Tamandua tetradactyla: one gene and its partner. The protein of the gene in region 2 purifies or fractionates together with the protein of the main gene of each other region. This does not show direct contact. Links are inferred from orthologs where the notes say so. Each region holds a gene or a part of one and is shown on either strand. Other genes may lie near its edges.

Region 1 (7,845 bases), on a different chromosome or scaffold from region 2:
TGTTGGGTAAGCACAGTGTGTGCAGGTATGCTTCAAGCTCTAGAGATACCACCTGCAAGTAGACAATAGGTCAAAAACAAGAAAACCCCAGAAAAATAAGAAAATTGATGCCCAAACCACTTAGCCTCATCTAATTTCAACAGGAGCAACATTTCTGGAAAATCTACAATGGGCCAGGAACCATGCAAATAATTTTCATTTATAAATCCTTTGAATTGGGAGGTAGGTGTCCTTAGATGAAGAAACTAAGGCTGAGATGTATATAAAATTGACTCCAATTACATGCTTTATCCTAAACTACCCAGAATGATATCAAAGCAGGTGTGCTTTCTCCTACACACTACACTAATGATGGGTAGAGCCAAATGCCAGCCTTCCACTATGGACTTTGCCTCAGACAACCTAATTCCCAAGTATGGCAAACAGTGATTTCAACACTGGTTTTGCCTCCAGGAACCCACACTCCAGGGCTGAGGCATCGACTGAATCAATGTTTCAGGCCTAGCCTGTTGCAAAATAAATAAGTTAAGTGCAAATATTGACGGTTCTTATGCAACTCCCAAATACACGAAAAAGGATTCTTTGGAACAGCAGCAAAAGGGTAAAAGGGAAACAATGGGAGGAGGAGGAGACAAGAGAAGAAGAGGAGGCCCGGGAAGAGCCAAGAAAGAGGGGAACTTGAAATGACAGGTCTTAACTGCAACTCCACACGCCACCGCCTGGACGCAAGTACTAAGTACAGCCGCCGCCATCCGGCTGGGCAGAGGGGCATGCGGCCACCAGAGACCAATGCCCTGACAACCACTCTCCCGCCACCGCCGACACGCACCTGTGATACTGCGCCTGTAGGAACTGGAATTCTTCCTTGATCCTGTCCAGGGACTCCGGGATAGTGAACTTGAAGGGCTGGCCTGCAGCCTGGTGCGGCGTCTGGGGGCGACAAGCGAGGGGCACCGAGAATTGGGGGTGCGGGTGGATGTACACATAAAGCAGTAAGTCAGAAAAGGGAGAAGTGGGTGGGACATAAACAAAAAATAAAGTTAGAAGAGGCGGATACTGAAGCCCCGAACTCGCCTCTCCGTTTCACTCTGGGAAGGGGAGAGAAGGACACTCCCCCAGTCCCCAGCTTCTAAAGAGGCTAGGAACCGCTTCCAGGGCGGGTCGTAATTAAGTGTGCCCACATCACCCGGCCGGAGGGAGGGGCAGCTCCCAGAAGACCGGGTAGGACCAGACCAGATTGTTGTCGTCGCCTTCCCCCTCCCCCTCAGGGGCGATAATGACTCCCGGGGCCGGAGAAGAAAAACAACTCCCTTTACGTTCTCAGTTCCCAGAGTCGCCGGGGCCACCTCCAGGAGCGCCGGAACGGGGGCCGCATTGACATGCAAATAAGCGAGACAAGAAACAAAAGGGGGGGCGCCCCCCCCGGGCTCGGGGACTGGGGAGAATGTGCCTGCCAGGACAGAAACCCTAGCCTCCCCCGGCGCCCCCTTCCACCCAGTCTAGACGTCAAATAGGAGGGGGCCGAAAGAAAAGGGGGGGGGGATCCGGAGTTTCAGGCCACTCTGCACCCCGGGGAACCAGGGCTCTGGACCTCCCCAGTTTTGCACCCCTGGGGGTGAGGAGACCTGGCAGCCGCCCGTCTCCCTACTGCTCGGGAAACAGCACCCTGACCCCCCCCACACACACACACACTGGGCCGCTCCTCACCGGGTGCCGGCTCTGCGGGAACATAGCTCTGGCGGAGGCCGCGGCTCTGTTCCTGGGCAACTCAATTCTTCGCTCAATTTCCAACTTTAATCCCACCGAGGAAAATTAAGCCAGGAAGCCAAGCAGAAGCGGGGCGCGCAGGGGGCGGAAGGGTGGGGGGCGATGACCACGCACGCAGGCGCGCTCAGAGGGGCGCACCGCCGCTCCGCGCCCGCGGTTACTCCTACTCCCGCCGCTGCGGGCTCCCGCGCTCAGGGCCACATCGTGGGGCGCCCAGGGCTCAGCTGTTCCAAGAAATTGCGCGACGACGCCAGCGCCCTGGGAGAGGGCGCGGGGGCTGCGCTCCAACCGGCGGGCCTCGGCCGCCGGGGCGGGGAGGTGAGGGCGTACTGACTCCCGCCGCGCTCCCCTCGGCGATCAGCGTGCGCAGCGCCGGTCCCGAGCTAACAAATCCAGGCGGGCTGCTTTTCTTTGCTTTTCTCCAGTCCGCCTCTCTCCGGATTTTCCCCGCAGCGGCGGCGGCGGGTGAGGAGGTGCAGGTGGAGCGGCGCCTCCGGTTAACCCCACACAAACCCGGCAACTATAGGGCCTTTGGCCGGGCGTTCGCGGGCTCCCAGGGGACCGCGGACAGCTAGGATCGGATCGCCGCGGAGGCTCCGCGCCCGGCGATGCGCAGCCTCAGCCCGGGCTGGGAAACACGGGATGACGCCGAGGCGGAGAAAGTGCGGAGGGCGCGCCGGGAGGCAGCTCGGCACGCCCCGTGCAACCAGCACTCGGTGTCCTCCGCGGTTGCACAAACCCTCCTGGCCCGACGGGGCTATTCCGTGGAGTGCAGCCCCGCAACCACCCACGGCTCCTCGGGCCCACGAAGCATCAGGGCACTGCGCCCCGCGCGAGATCGCCCCGAAGGGCCGGACTAGCCACTCCGGACCCTTCTTCGAAGCCCTTTCCTCGGTCCTCCCCTTCCCTTCGTTTGCCTCTCCGCAAAGGGCGCTCCAGCCCGCTGCAAAGTTCTCTCACGACCCCAGGGACGACATCCACGAGAGAATGGGGAGAATAGCAGGCATGCACTCCACCGCCCAGCCTCCTCCCCGGCGGAAAAACTCCGCGGGCGAGTCCGGAGTAGTCGCGGCACCGGTGGCCAGTGGAGCTTTGGTCACCACCGGTCGGCGGAGGTCCGGGCTGGTGGCGGAGGTCCCGGCTGGTGGCGGAGATCTCGCCTGGCTTCTTAGGGGGTGGAGGTGGCGCAGTCGGTCGCCTGGGGGGCGCGAGGCACGGGGTATCCGCCACTGCTGTTCCTGCAGCCGCCGGTCCCGCCGCCGCCGCCCGCGCCTCTCGCGCCGGTTACATTAACACGCGGTTTCACACTCCGGAGCTAACCAGAGCCGGCCCCGCCCAGCCCCGTACGGGCGGGGTCGCGAGCGCAGAGCCGACGGGGGACGTGGGCTCGGGCGGGGCTCGGGCAGCAGAAAGGCCCGCGTCAGCCAATCGCGCGCGCCGTGCCCAACGTGGGGTACTGACGCGCGGCTCCCCCAGAGCCTATGGCAGCGCAAGGCCAGCCAGGCTGTCCCTTCCTTCATCCCTCCCATCCCACTTGCTTCCATCTCCGCCGTCTCCCTTGTCTCCCCTGCCACCACCCCTCCTCCACCCAGCCGCGTCCTCTCAGGCTTGGTGAGGAAGTGTTCCTGGAGGAGCCTCGGACGCCGAAGCCAGCCAATGAAAAGCGGCGAGACTCAGAGATTGGCACGGAGGATGGGAAGGTCGGTGGGAAGGAGAGCAGCGGGGCTCAGCTGTCAATCAAAGTAACGTGGGGCTGCCTAGGGAGCGCGCCTTAGCGCGCGAGCGGGGTGGGGGGGGGGGGGCTGGGGGACTCGCGAGCTTGCTGCCGCCGAACTGGGGTTCGAGTTTGCAAAAATGCTGCCACTTGTTCAGTTTGCAAAAATGCTGCCACTTGTTCACTTTTTCTTTTATGAAAATCCTCAGATCTTGACGAAAGTAACTCAAGAACTAGTCGCGTTGCTTATTGGGGTGCTGCTTTGGTAGTTTTGAGTTAAAATGCGTCTTTCGGTGCTAGCCTCTTGTTTGATGCTACCCTTTTGGAATGTGAGGTCATATTCAAAAATTTCTCTGAGGTTTGTTTTTTTCCTAGACTACCTTTTCAGCAACGCATGAGAAGGAATGGACTGTGCCCTGGTGGAAACTGCCTAATGGTCAACGCATTGCGTGCGTAGGCCAGCCCTTAAGACATCACCATGGTGCCCACCACGTTTTGCCCAAGGTGGTAGGATTCGTTTTTTATTGGCGGGTATCAAATCGCTTTGCCAAAGGGTCGGCCTGCCTTCGTTTGGCGGGAGGGATTCTCAAAGGTATGCCTAGGTAAGGCAGGAGTGTACCAAAGCGCAGATGCGATACTCTGCCCGGGGCGCGAAATCTCGGGTCCTTGTCTTCAAAGTCCTGGCTTTGCTGTGATGAGGGGGAAAAAAAATCGTAGTTTTAGGAGTCTCGCAGCCACATGACCACGAGTCTGTTTCCAATTCCTGGGAACAAAGGGAGACAATGAAATAAACCAGCATTGAGACCTGAAAAACCTGTCCCACCCACCTCCATCCCCACCCCCATAATTTGGATGGTACCCCAGGGCTGATCTGTGTTCGGAGCCAGAGGGGAAGACGTGGGTAAAGGACGAGGCTAAAATTCTTACGCAGCGAAACTTGAGTTAAAAGGGATTTTTGAGATTTTTAAATAAACGGGACTCAATGTGTAAGTAAAATAAAGAGTCCCCAGTTTTTGTCTCTCTAAATAGATCACATAGAAAATGTATACTTTGAACAGTACGGTTAAGCTATTTCCATGTGACCCGTGGAAACTGTGTGTATTGGGACCTACATGACAAGCATTTCTCTTAACATTGGAACCTAGTAAACATATTTTTGGTATCAATAACTTCTACATCCCCATTATTTTACTTTGATTTTTTGTATGGGCAGGCATCGGGAATCGAACCCGGGTCTCCGGTGTGGGAGGCAACAACTCTGCCTGCTGAGCTACCGTGGCCAGCCCCATGTTATTTTACTTTTAAGAGACATATGGGAAAGCACATACATAAATGTATTTCATTCAAAGATTTGCTTTTACAGAAAACTTCTTCCTGAAATATTGAAAGAATCATTTTAAGTAATACAGTTCACAGTTGCAATTGTTTTAAAATATGTATGACATTGATTTCTCTATAATTGCATCAATCCCAATTATCAATTACAAGTGAAAAATAGAGTAGTTTTATTCAATATGCAAGGCAGTAGTAAATTCTTAAATTTGGCAGTATACTTTGCAGTGCTCTCATTAAATTTGGGAAGGAGACTATATTATTCTTTTGCTAACCTGGAGAATGAAAGAGAAGCACTGCCTCTCTTTCCGTGGTTAATTTGGTGATGACAGCGGCAGGTTTGCTCCACATACAGGACTTTTTAAAATTATATGATCCATGTGGAACTAAGCTTTGTCCTTGGGCAACCTGTGTTCTTTGAAATCTTCATCTATTTTCTGGCTGGGCCACATGGGCCAGTCTGTGATGACTTCATCTCATAATCTGAGGACTGGGTAGAAAGTTCTTTTGTGCCACAGAAATGCCTGTGGACTCTGGGACAGCTATAGCAGTCTGAGACATCTCCCTGGCTTACTTACCCAGCTTTGCCTGATGGGTATCTTAACTTACTGGTAAACACTAGCAATTAAGTATAAGCAGAGACATTAAAATGACATGTTTTGGGGCAGTAGCAAAAGTGTTGCTACTTCTCTTCCCACCCACCCCGTTCAAAATCAGTTTTAACACACTGACTTTAAATATTCTGTCATACAGCTCTTCACAGAACACGTATGTGGTTGCCACCTTTCCCAGTTTGGCCTTGGTAAAAATTGAGGATTTCTCTTTTGACCAGTGCTTCCTTACTACCTTCTGATTTCCTTATAATGTAGTATGTGGAGAAAAGAATGAATATACTGAATTTAAAATTGGAAAGCCTTTAATTGCATGAATATTTTTTCATTTCGATGGCTTCTGTCTCATACAGAGCATCCTCCTTGAGAGAGGGAGAAAGCTCTGCCCTTTTCAAGGTCATATTTTCTCCCTGATTGCCATGCTGTAATAATTATACTACAAAACTCTCATCAAACTGCATTATAAATGATGGTGTTTAAACAATCAAGTAGCCTTAATCTTCTGTTTTAAATAAATCATATATGTGCAGATTGCCTACAGCCTGTTTAAAAGAAAACAGTCCTACTCATGAAATCTATAATTTTAGTCATCTATTTGAAGTACGTTAACCATAATCTTCTTTACCTTCAACATAATCGTATGTTGATGATGTTTTTACAAGAAATAATATTAAGTGTGCTGCTTCCATAGGAAATTGTCCCTGAAGTAAAAGCAGTACCCTGTTTATCCTCTGCAAAAGAAACAGAAAGATTGCCGGCAATTTTTTTTTAAAACTTATTTGAAATACTTTCAAACGTACAGGACAGTTACAAAAATAATATAAACCTCATACAGAGAACTCAGGTCCACCAATTTGAACATTTTGTCACATTTGCCACGTCATTGTTTTTCCCTCCTCTGTCCCCTCTCTGCATCTTTCTGTCCAATCCATTTTATGAACTCTTGAGTATAGGTTTGTATACATCATGTTCCCTTACCACTTAATACTGCCATGTACATTTCCTTAAAACAAGGATATTCACTTACATAACCACCTTGAGTGCAGTTATCATGTTCAAGAAATTAACACTGATTTAAAGCTTAGACTCTATATTGTAATTTTTTCATATGTCCTGAAAATATCCTATGAGTTTTTTCTCTTTGCTTGTTTGATTCCATCCAGGATCGTGTATTGCATTTGTCATTGTGTCTTTAGTTGATCTGTCTTTTTTTTTTTTTTTAATTGTGGAGACATATATGCAACATAAAATTTCCCATCCCAACCCCTCCCATACATATCATTCAATGAGATTAATCACGTTTGCAGTATTGTGGTACCTTCACCACCTTCCTGTGTTAAAACTTTCCTGTCTCCCAAAACAGAATCCCTATACCCGTTATACTTTAAATCTCCAATCCCTCTATCCTCCACCCCTGGCCACTTGCACTCTAATTTCTGTCTCTCTGTTTACATATTCTCTGATTTTTTTTTGTACTCACCACAAAATTTAACATCCTAAATCTATAACAATCTCATTTGCTTCGATGCCATAGTATATACCGTCCCCCACCTTTATGTAATTCTTCTCACAAATTACATGTTTATATATTATGAGTCCAAAACCACTGATATCTCATTACATTTTTACCTTTGCCTTTTAAATCCTTTAGCAAGTAAAAAGTGGAATTACCAACCAAAAATACAAGAGCACTGGCATTTATCTTTACCCGGTTGTTACCCTCCCTGGTGAGCTTTATCGCTTCAGCAGCTGTGACCTATTGTCTATTGTCCTTTCCTTTCAACCTCCAGAGCTCTCTTGAGCATCTCTTGTAATTCTGGTCTAGTGCTGACAACTCCCTCAGCTTTTGTTTACAGGGAATGTCTTAATCTCTCCTGCATTTTAAAAAGACACTTTCGCCAGATATAGAATTCTTAGGTGGCAATTTTTTGTTGTTAGTACTCTAAATATGCCATCCCACTGCCTTCTTGCCTCCATGGTTTCCAATGAGAAATCAGCACTTAATCTTACTGAGGCTCCCTCATACATGGCCTGCCAATTTTCTCTGGTAGCTTTCAGAATTCTCTCTTTATCTTTGCCAGTGAACCGTTTCATTATAATATGCTGCAGCGTGGGTCTATTTGGGTTCATCCTGTTTGGAGTTCGTTGAGCATCTTGGGTATGTATATCCATGTCTTTTGTTAAATTTGGTAAGTGTTCACCCATTATTTCTTTGAATATTCTTTCTGCCCCTTTGTCTTTCTTCTCCTTCTGGGATTACCTCATGTGTATGGGTGTCGCATAGATTCCTCAGGCATCTTTCACTTTTCCTCATTCTTTCCTCTTACTGCCTCTCAGACTGAATGACTTCACATATCTTATCTTCAAGTTCTCTGATTTCTTCTGCCCTGTTCCAATCTGCTGTTGAACCCCTCTGGGGAA
Region 2 (7,695 bases):
GACAGGCTTTCCCTGACAGTCACTAATGACACCCTACCCCACCTCACCTATGAACAAAACACGGGCAAAAGGATGGAATCAGAGGGACAATTCTGGCAAAAAAAAAAAAAAAAAAATCCGTGCTCCATGGGAAGAGACCACAGGAAACCTCCCCAGGGAGATAAAGTCTCTCTCAAATACTAGGATGGGAAGTGGGCTGCTTTGGGGAGGGATGGAGGAAAAGAGAGAAGGTAGACTGGGAGGATATGACTATTGGCCTGTGCCTGAAAAGCGGGCATCTCTGCTCATTGGCCTTTGCGCTGAGTCTTCTGGAATTTACTTGCTGGGCCCTGCCATGGTTACAGAGCTTCCTGGGTCCAGCTAAGCCCCTGCCAGGTCTATTAAGCCCTAAAGCTGTCTCCAAAGAAGGGTCTTCTCCCACATTCCAAAACTAACTACAGTGGATAAGCAAGGCAACTTCTGGTTCTGGGATGGGCCAAGGTCTGAGGTCCCCAATTATCCTGTAACAAAGAGTCCAGGCCTAGCAGACAGCAGTAGCTCAGGCCTTGGTTAAGGCTCAGTTCCTGAAGTGCCCATGCAGGGAGACAGTCCCCCTGCACCCAGGCCCATAGGAAAGAAAGCCACCAAGAACAAAGGGGCCCACTCCTGAGTTGAGTGCAGAGAGGATTGGAGGCACGGTGGCAGGGGATGAGGCCTTCGTTTAGTAATTCCGGGAGCCGGTAGAGGTGACCCAGGAGATGAACACATCCCAGAAAGGCCCCGCTGCGCATTGTGCTTTCGGGGCATGGTTGGAGTGCTGTTGTGTCTGCGTGCAGAAGGCACGGACACTTGTAATAAAATCGTAGTCTCCCGGCCTGCCCGAGCCGCGCGGCCTGACAGCTCAATCACTCTATCCATCAGGCAAGTCAATCAAAGCAGCTTTTCGGAGGTTCAGGGAGCCGGACGTGTCAATAACGGGGCTCGAGATGGCGGGGGCTGATAGCGCGCATCGATCCGCGCCCGGCCAGCAGCGGCCAGGAGCGAGAGACCCGCAGTGGGAGAGCGACGCGTGGCTACGCTGTGTCCGGCCTCCTCTGGCTCCTGGGCGCCCGGAGCCCGCATCCCGGGTCAGAACCTCTGCCACCCTCCTGGCAGCCCCCACTGCTTTTCCCTGAGCTGCCAGCGGGGCGGCGGGCAGGCCTCAGCCTCCTCTCGAAGGGATCCGGCGGCTGTCCCTCTGCAGGCCTCGGCCTCGGGTCCGCCGAGCGTGAGAGACAGACAGAAAGAAGGCTGAAGAAAAGCCGAGAAAAATGGGCCTGCGACTGGGGGAAATTTGCCAAATGGCAGATAAAGGACGGAAGGAGTGACAGGAGGAAGGAGCGGGAAAATGCGGGTGCCGCGCCGCAGAGAAGCTGCCGAAAAGGGTGGTTCTCCGTGCGCTCGGCTCGGCTTTCTGGCCTGAGTCTGGCCTGCCTTCTCTCTTCTCCGACTGTCTGTCTGTCAGCCCCACAGAACCAAGAGCGAAACGCTCCCGGCACCCACCGCTTCAGCGATCGCCTGCCCCTGATATTCTACCCACCCGGGTCAGATTCGCTCTGATCCTCGGCCAGGGCGACGCGGGAGAGGGACGTTCAAACACATTTCTCTCTCTTCCTGTGTGACTCTAGATCTAACTCTATGTAAAGGAACTCTCCGCAGAACATAACGAGATGGTGTGTGGGTCTGTGAGAATACGCTGCGAAGATTATTTCTCTAGTCAAAGACTTGCTGGATTTCAGTCTCCGCAGGACCTGAATGGCTATATTTGAGACCCAAATCACTAGGCCTACCTTCCTGCCACCTCTAAACACTCCCTCCCTGGAGGAAAAATCAATGAGTGATTTTCGTAGCTTTCCAAAAAATAATAAAGGTAAAACAAAAAGAAGGTCCCAGGGGTTCGGAGTTCAAAATCGAAGGCTGGAGACCCGAGCCTTCCGCGCCCTAAACCTTATACTTACTTAGACCTGGGCCCTCACCCGGATGGAATTGGGGCCGGTTGTGAGGAGAGGGAAGCAGGCGTGAGAAACCAGAGCGCCTGAGGCTGGGCTTGTTCTGCCCAGCGAAGCGGCTGGGAGTTCTGGGGGGGCATCCGCGGAGCCAGCAGGCATGACGCAGCTCGGCGCCGGGTACTCACCGGAGGACGGACGATCCGAGTAGCGCGTGCAGTAGACCCAGGCGGGCCATACGAGAGGCTGCTGCGAGTCACTTTTGACCACGGGCCCGCCATTGGCTGAGCCCATAAGCAGGATGGCGGGGTTGCCGTGTTCCGGGTACTTGGAGCCCTGCGCGCCGGGGCTCCCTGAGCCTCCTCCGCTGCCGCCGCTGCTGTCCGGGGGCTTGGCCGCTGCTGCCGCCGCCGCCGCCGCCGCCGCCGCCACGGCCGCTGCAGCAGCCGCCGCCGCCGCAGCCGCCGGGTTCCCGGTTTTGGACGCGCCAGCGCTGCCGGCCGCGGCTGGCGGGGAGCCGTCGGGCGGACCACAGTTCGCGTCCGGGGTGCATAAGAGCGAGGCGGCGCCCGGCGCCCGCGTGCCCAGCGAATGGACAGGGTCTCTACCTGCTCCGGTCTGGCCTCTGTCACGCTCGACCCGGCCTCCTCCTCCCGCGCCCCCTCCGGCCGCCGCCGCCACGAGGAGCTGCGGCGGCGGCTGCTCCTTTTTGCAGCCGAAGTCCGGCCTCAGGATGTTGTCGATGAAAAAGTTGGTGGTGCGGTGCAGTTGGGCCGCGGGCTGCGGCTGATGAGCAGGCGCCGCGAGATGCTGAGGCGGCGGCGGGGGCGGGGGAGGCGGGGGGAGGTGCGGGTGGTGGGCCAGGGGCGGCAGGCAGGGCACCGCGGGCGGCGACGGGGGCGCGGGCTGCGGGGACACGGGTCCGCTGTCTCCATCGCTGCCGCTGCTACCGCTGGCGCCGGGGCTGAGGCTCAGGCTGAGGCCGCCCGGGGCCGCCGCCGCCGCCGCCGCGCCGAGGCCCGAGTCACGCTGACTTTTAGGTTCCGGCTGCTGCTCTTCCATGCTCGGCCGCCCCGCCGCGCCGGCCCCCGCCCCCCGCGCTTCGCTCCCCACCCCACTTTGCCAGCGGCCCGTGGGGGTGCGCGGAGGAAGGAGGCAGGCGAAGCCCCAGCGAAGGCGAGGGGCGGCGCAGGAAAAAAAAAGCCCAGGCGCCTGGCCTGGATCGCTCGCTCTTATCGAGCAGATAGATCTTGCTGTCTCTGCCTCCCTCTAATTTGTAGACATCCAGATATGGAGACACTTGGCTATGTCTTTTTTTTCTTTTTCTTTTTTCCTTTCTGCAACCAGATTCAATGATTTCTTTTAAATGGGGAGTCAGCCACGGCCGAAAAGAAAAAAAATAAAAAAAAAAAATAAAAAAAAGAGAGAGAAAGAAAGAAAAGAAAAAACAAAAAGAAAAAAAAAGAAAGATAGAAAAAAGCTCCGGGAATTTTTTTTTTCTTAAAGGGAAAAAATAGTCTTTAAAGTCTAGCCATCTTCGTAGGCAAGTAGTGAGGGCTTTGACTTCCCCGAGTGTCACGCTCAGCTGTGCCCAGAGCGCGAGGCTGGCAGCGCCTTTAATCGCCTTTGCTTTTTTTGCAGGGAAAGCGCGTCTCCGCCAGCGCCGGGGCTGCCTTTTTTTTTTTTTTTCAAATCTCTGACAGCTCGGATCTTTGCACAAACTCTCGCTTAAAAAAAAAATCACCCAGGCACACTTTTTGCCTTCTAACCGGAAGCACGTGAGTCAGGGCCGCACGTGTGCGGGGCCAATGGCGAGCCGGCACTCGCGCTGACACCCGGGCCGCGGCCCAATGAGTGCGCGCGGGACTTTGCGGATAAATAATCCGGGGGCGGCGGCCGCGGGCGGAGAGGGGGCGCCGCCGCGCGGGCCCCGCGCGTCGGGCCAGCCCTCCCCTCTGTTGCCTCAGTCCCTCCCCCTCCTTTAGGCCCTGACCAAGGAGGGGGCAGAGGAGACAGGGGGAGGGGTGGGTTTGGGGGTGTAGGCAAATAAAGAAGCAACTTCAAAAACAACTTGTTGGAGAAATGCAGGATTATGGGTGCGTGCAAGACGGATGCAGGGTCAGGAAGCAGGGGCCTCGGCTCTTTGCACCCTCACGCCTAAGAAACTTAGCCTTTTATTTTCTCGTTTATTCCCTTCTTGCTGTTAGAAAGGGTGAAAGGTTGTTTGTTGTCACTGCCCATCTCTGTGTGTATGTATGTATGGGGGGGGTGCGCGTGTGTCTGTGTGTTGGAGGGAGAGTGTTGAGACGAGAAAGTCGCTGGTGTGAAATAGATCTAGATAGGGTTGGTTACTTTCAGAGGCACAGTTTATTTTTCAGTAATAGCAAAAGCAGGAGGCCCGCGGTGCCTAGCCAACAGCGCTAGTTTGTCGGTCGCACGCCTAGCCGCTTCGCTGCATGTCGCTCCGGGGAATCCTCACCCACGCCCTTGCTGGTCCAGACCTTGGACAACACCCGGAACGGCCCTGGCGCCACTGAGTCAGGCCCAGAGGGCGCGGGAGACCCCGAGCGTCGGGCTGGCCGGAGCCTGTTCCTTCGCTTGCTGCGGGAGTGGGGGCCGCCCAGGCTTCGCGGAGTTGTCCGGGAGGGCGGTTGGGCTGGATGAGTCAGGGCGGGAATAAGGGCGAGGCCCAGGCTTTTGGGTTCAGGGCAACCTTCATGTTAGATTTCTCTGCACTGTAAAATCAAATAAATAAAAGCATTGCACCTCCAGGTGTTTGCCTGGCTAACTGGACAGCGAGTTTTACACCATTGCAAGGTGACTGATTTTTCTGTATTTGCTCTCGACATCTTGGGGGCCTCCGGCTCAAGCCCTACAGGTTCATCCCAAGCTTTGGGGGATTGCGGGACTCCAGCCGCCCCCACACTCACCGAGATCCATCTTCCGTCCGCTGGGCTCTTCTTCGTTTCTTCCCTGATGAAGCAACCCCAAAAGTTCTCCCACAGCCGGGCATAGGGGAGTGAGGCCGGGGCACAGGCGGGCTGGTCTGCCGCGCGATTTCAGAGAGCCAGGGTCGGATTGGCTACTGGAGCCTGCGATGTACAAAAGAAAAGGGCAAGTTTCCGGCAACGGAGGCCTTCGCAGGGGTATCATCTGTGCAGCTGCAGAGGACCTGCTCGCTCTGACCGCCAACCTCAACTGAGACGACAGAGGATCTCTTTAGGGATATTGTCTAGTTGGGGCATGCAAAATAATTCCTCTCTCCAGTTTCCCAGACAAGTCCCAGGGAATTAGGAAGGAAATAAAACGAAAACCACAGCAAGGCGAAACCATCGCAGTAGCCGAAGTTTCTGAGAGGGGCTGGTGGAGAGCGGGAATTCGCACTGCTCCCTGCATCTTCAGGTCAGCTGAGCCCCCCCCTACTCACCCGCCTGCCACCCACATCCGATTCCCAAGTTCCTGGCTAGACCTTAGCGGTGCCCGGGGCGGGGGGGGGGGGGGGGGGGGGGGGGGGGGAACAGCACGAACATCTAGCTGCAGTCTCCTCCACCCCTCTCCAACCGCCCTAAACCCCACCTTGGGGTCTCTCGAGTCCTCTGCATCCCCATCCCCAAGGGCTCCCCGAAATTTCCCGGCGCCCCCTCCTCTAATCCCCGAAGTGAGGGTGGAATTTTATTTATATTTAAGTTCGAAAAATTGAAATCTTTATCCCGCAAGCTAGCGTGGGTACTTAATTAAATTCTAATTAGGACACTATCAATATCCTATTTAGCCGCGTAGCTTTTGTGCGCCGCGGTCCCTTTCAGTGCCGTAAATAGGGTCTCGACGCCTTATCTCGCCTGCAAGAGACGCCTCGAGAAGGGCTGCGGAAGATAATTTATAGGTTTTAATTACTCTTCATTCCGCCTGATCAGCTTGGCGTTCATCACAGGCCTGTGAATAAAACCCTGGTCAAAAGCTCTGTCACATCGCGCTGGCAAGACGCTTAATCAAAGTGAGCGGCCCCGCGCGCCGCGCGGCCCGGCTCCTCCACGTAATTTCCAGCCAGCTGATAAAGCCAGCTGAATAATGCGGCGGCCCTTTGGAGACACCATTTACAGAAATGACTTTATTGACGGCTTAACGTCGGTAATTCATTTTACCTTTCATGTAGTGGAGCCCGGATTTGTTACAGTAATGGGATGATAAATGCACCCGCGGCCCACGAGCTGGGGCTGGATTAGGCGGCGCTCCGCGCGCTACCTCGAGCCCCCCACCCCTCCCCAGGCCCAGCCTGCACCCAACGCTGTGCACATCGCGGGGCTCGCTCTCCATGGCCCCCACCCGGGCCGGCGCCCTCCTCTCCCTCCTGAAAATGAACATACTATCGGGATCTGGTGTTCTGGCAAGCCTGGGAGTGAGGTGTGCGAGGGCTGAGAGCGAATACACGTTGGCGGAAACGGGTGTGCGAGGGGTCTGGAAGACTCCCGGCGAGCCCAGGGCTGGGTGTGTGGGTGAGAAAGTATGGGCAGGGTGAGTTGCCTGTGCATGTATGTGGGTAAAGAGGTTGGCTGTGTGGAGGGGTGTATGTGCACAAGTGAGTGCACATACTTTCCGGAACTTTTTTTCAGCCTTTGAGAATTAGGAAATTTTCTTCAACTTACTAGATGCCCGGGCCAGGATGACAGGGAGGCAGGTGGGCAGGAAGCAGATGGAGGGATTGGGGAACCTGCTGGAGTGGAGTAGAGCCCCTTTCTCCAAAAGCTCTTGGCTCCAGGGCCAAGGGCAAGGAAGTGTGAGGGCGCTCTGCTGTCCATTTCCATAGCCTTGCAGCTCTGAGCAGGACAGTTCATGCAGTGAGTCCCAAAGAGGGTCACAAACTGGGTCAAGTCTGAGAAATAAATGTTGATTGTCCCCAAGTAATACCCAGCTCAGATAGGGGATTATGTTGAGAAGAAAATTATTTTGTTTTATTTTGTTTTGTTTTAAGCATCCAAGTGTGTGTGTGTGTGGGGGGGCGATTTCTCTTCCACTTTGAAGGCAGAAGGGGACTCAAGGAGAACTTTAAAGTTAAGCAGGACCTTGAGACACCCCAACCTCCTTGTCGCCTCTCCTACCAACAGATCCCCTCCATTCTGTGCTGCAAAGCAGGGGATTCCACTGAGCAAACCAGTGAAAACAGTATATTCTATGAGTTTTGGCGACTGCTGGAGAAGTTTAGGGAGGATATAGAAGGAAGACCAATGAGCGATTTGGAGCAGTCTCAAGGTGAAGGCTGAGACATTGTTCCTTTGTTTCTCCTCTTTCTCAATTTTGCAAAAAACACTAAACGGTGTCAGAGTAGCCAGTGGCTGTGGGGGCTGAAGCATGTGTTTGTGTCTGTTTTGCATATTATTAGAGCCACAGGGAGAGAAAACTGGTCCATAAGTATGTGTTTGTGTCTCTGTGTGCACTTGTGCGCTGGCAGGAAGCCTGTCCTTGTGCACAGTAGAGTGTATGCCTGAGTCAGTCCACTACCAGGGTATGCAGAAATGTATTTGTGTGAAGGTTTGAGTGTGTGCTGTTCTGAAAACAAAACAAAACAACAACAACAAAATACTCGCTCCCCATCCCGGCATGAGTTTCCCTAGAGTTTTGAATTTCCTTTCGGCAGAGATAAATTTCTCTCCCTTTGCAGGATGGGGACCGGAGGTGAACTGTGAACGAAAACCTCGCAGCCTAGTAGGGCGTGCGGCGCGATGGGCCGGGAGTG

The links. Proteins that work in one complex are often made in the same cells at the same time.
Region 1: the proteins of EN1 (region 2) and TLE1 purify together in Homo sapiens (affinity purification with western blotting; 4 studies listed by BioGRID and IntAct, with this or other methods). This does not show direct contact. The link is inferred for Tamandua tetradactyla from reciprocal best matches to the Homo sapiens genes EN1 and TLE1.

What each region holds. Positions count from the first base shown.
Region 1 is NC_135328.1:112,657,822-112,665,666, forward strand, and holds the start of TLE1 (transducin-like enhancer protein 1), read right to left. Parts: upstream 3,066-7,845; 5' UTR 1,732-3,065; coding exon 1,708-1,731; intron 931-1,707; coding exon 830-930; intron 1-829. UniProt on the Homo sapiens protein: Transcriptional corepressor that binds to a number of transcription factors. Inhibits NF-kappa-B-regulated gene expression. Inhibits the transcriptional activation mediated by FOXA2, and by CTNNB1 and TCF family members in Wnt signaling.
Region 2 is NC_135329.1:95,309,652-95,317,346, forward strand, and holds the start of EN1 (homeobox protein engrailed-1), read right to left. Parts: upstream 3,027-7,695; coding exon 2,153-3,026; intron 1-2,152. UniProt on the Homo sapiens protein: Required for proper formation of the apical ectodermal ridge and correct dorsal-ventral patterning in the limb.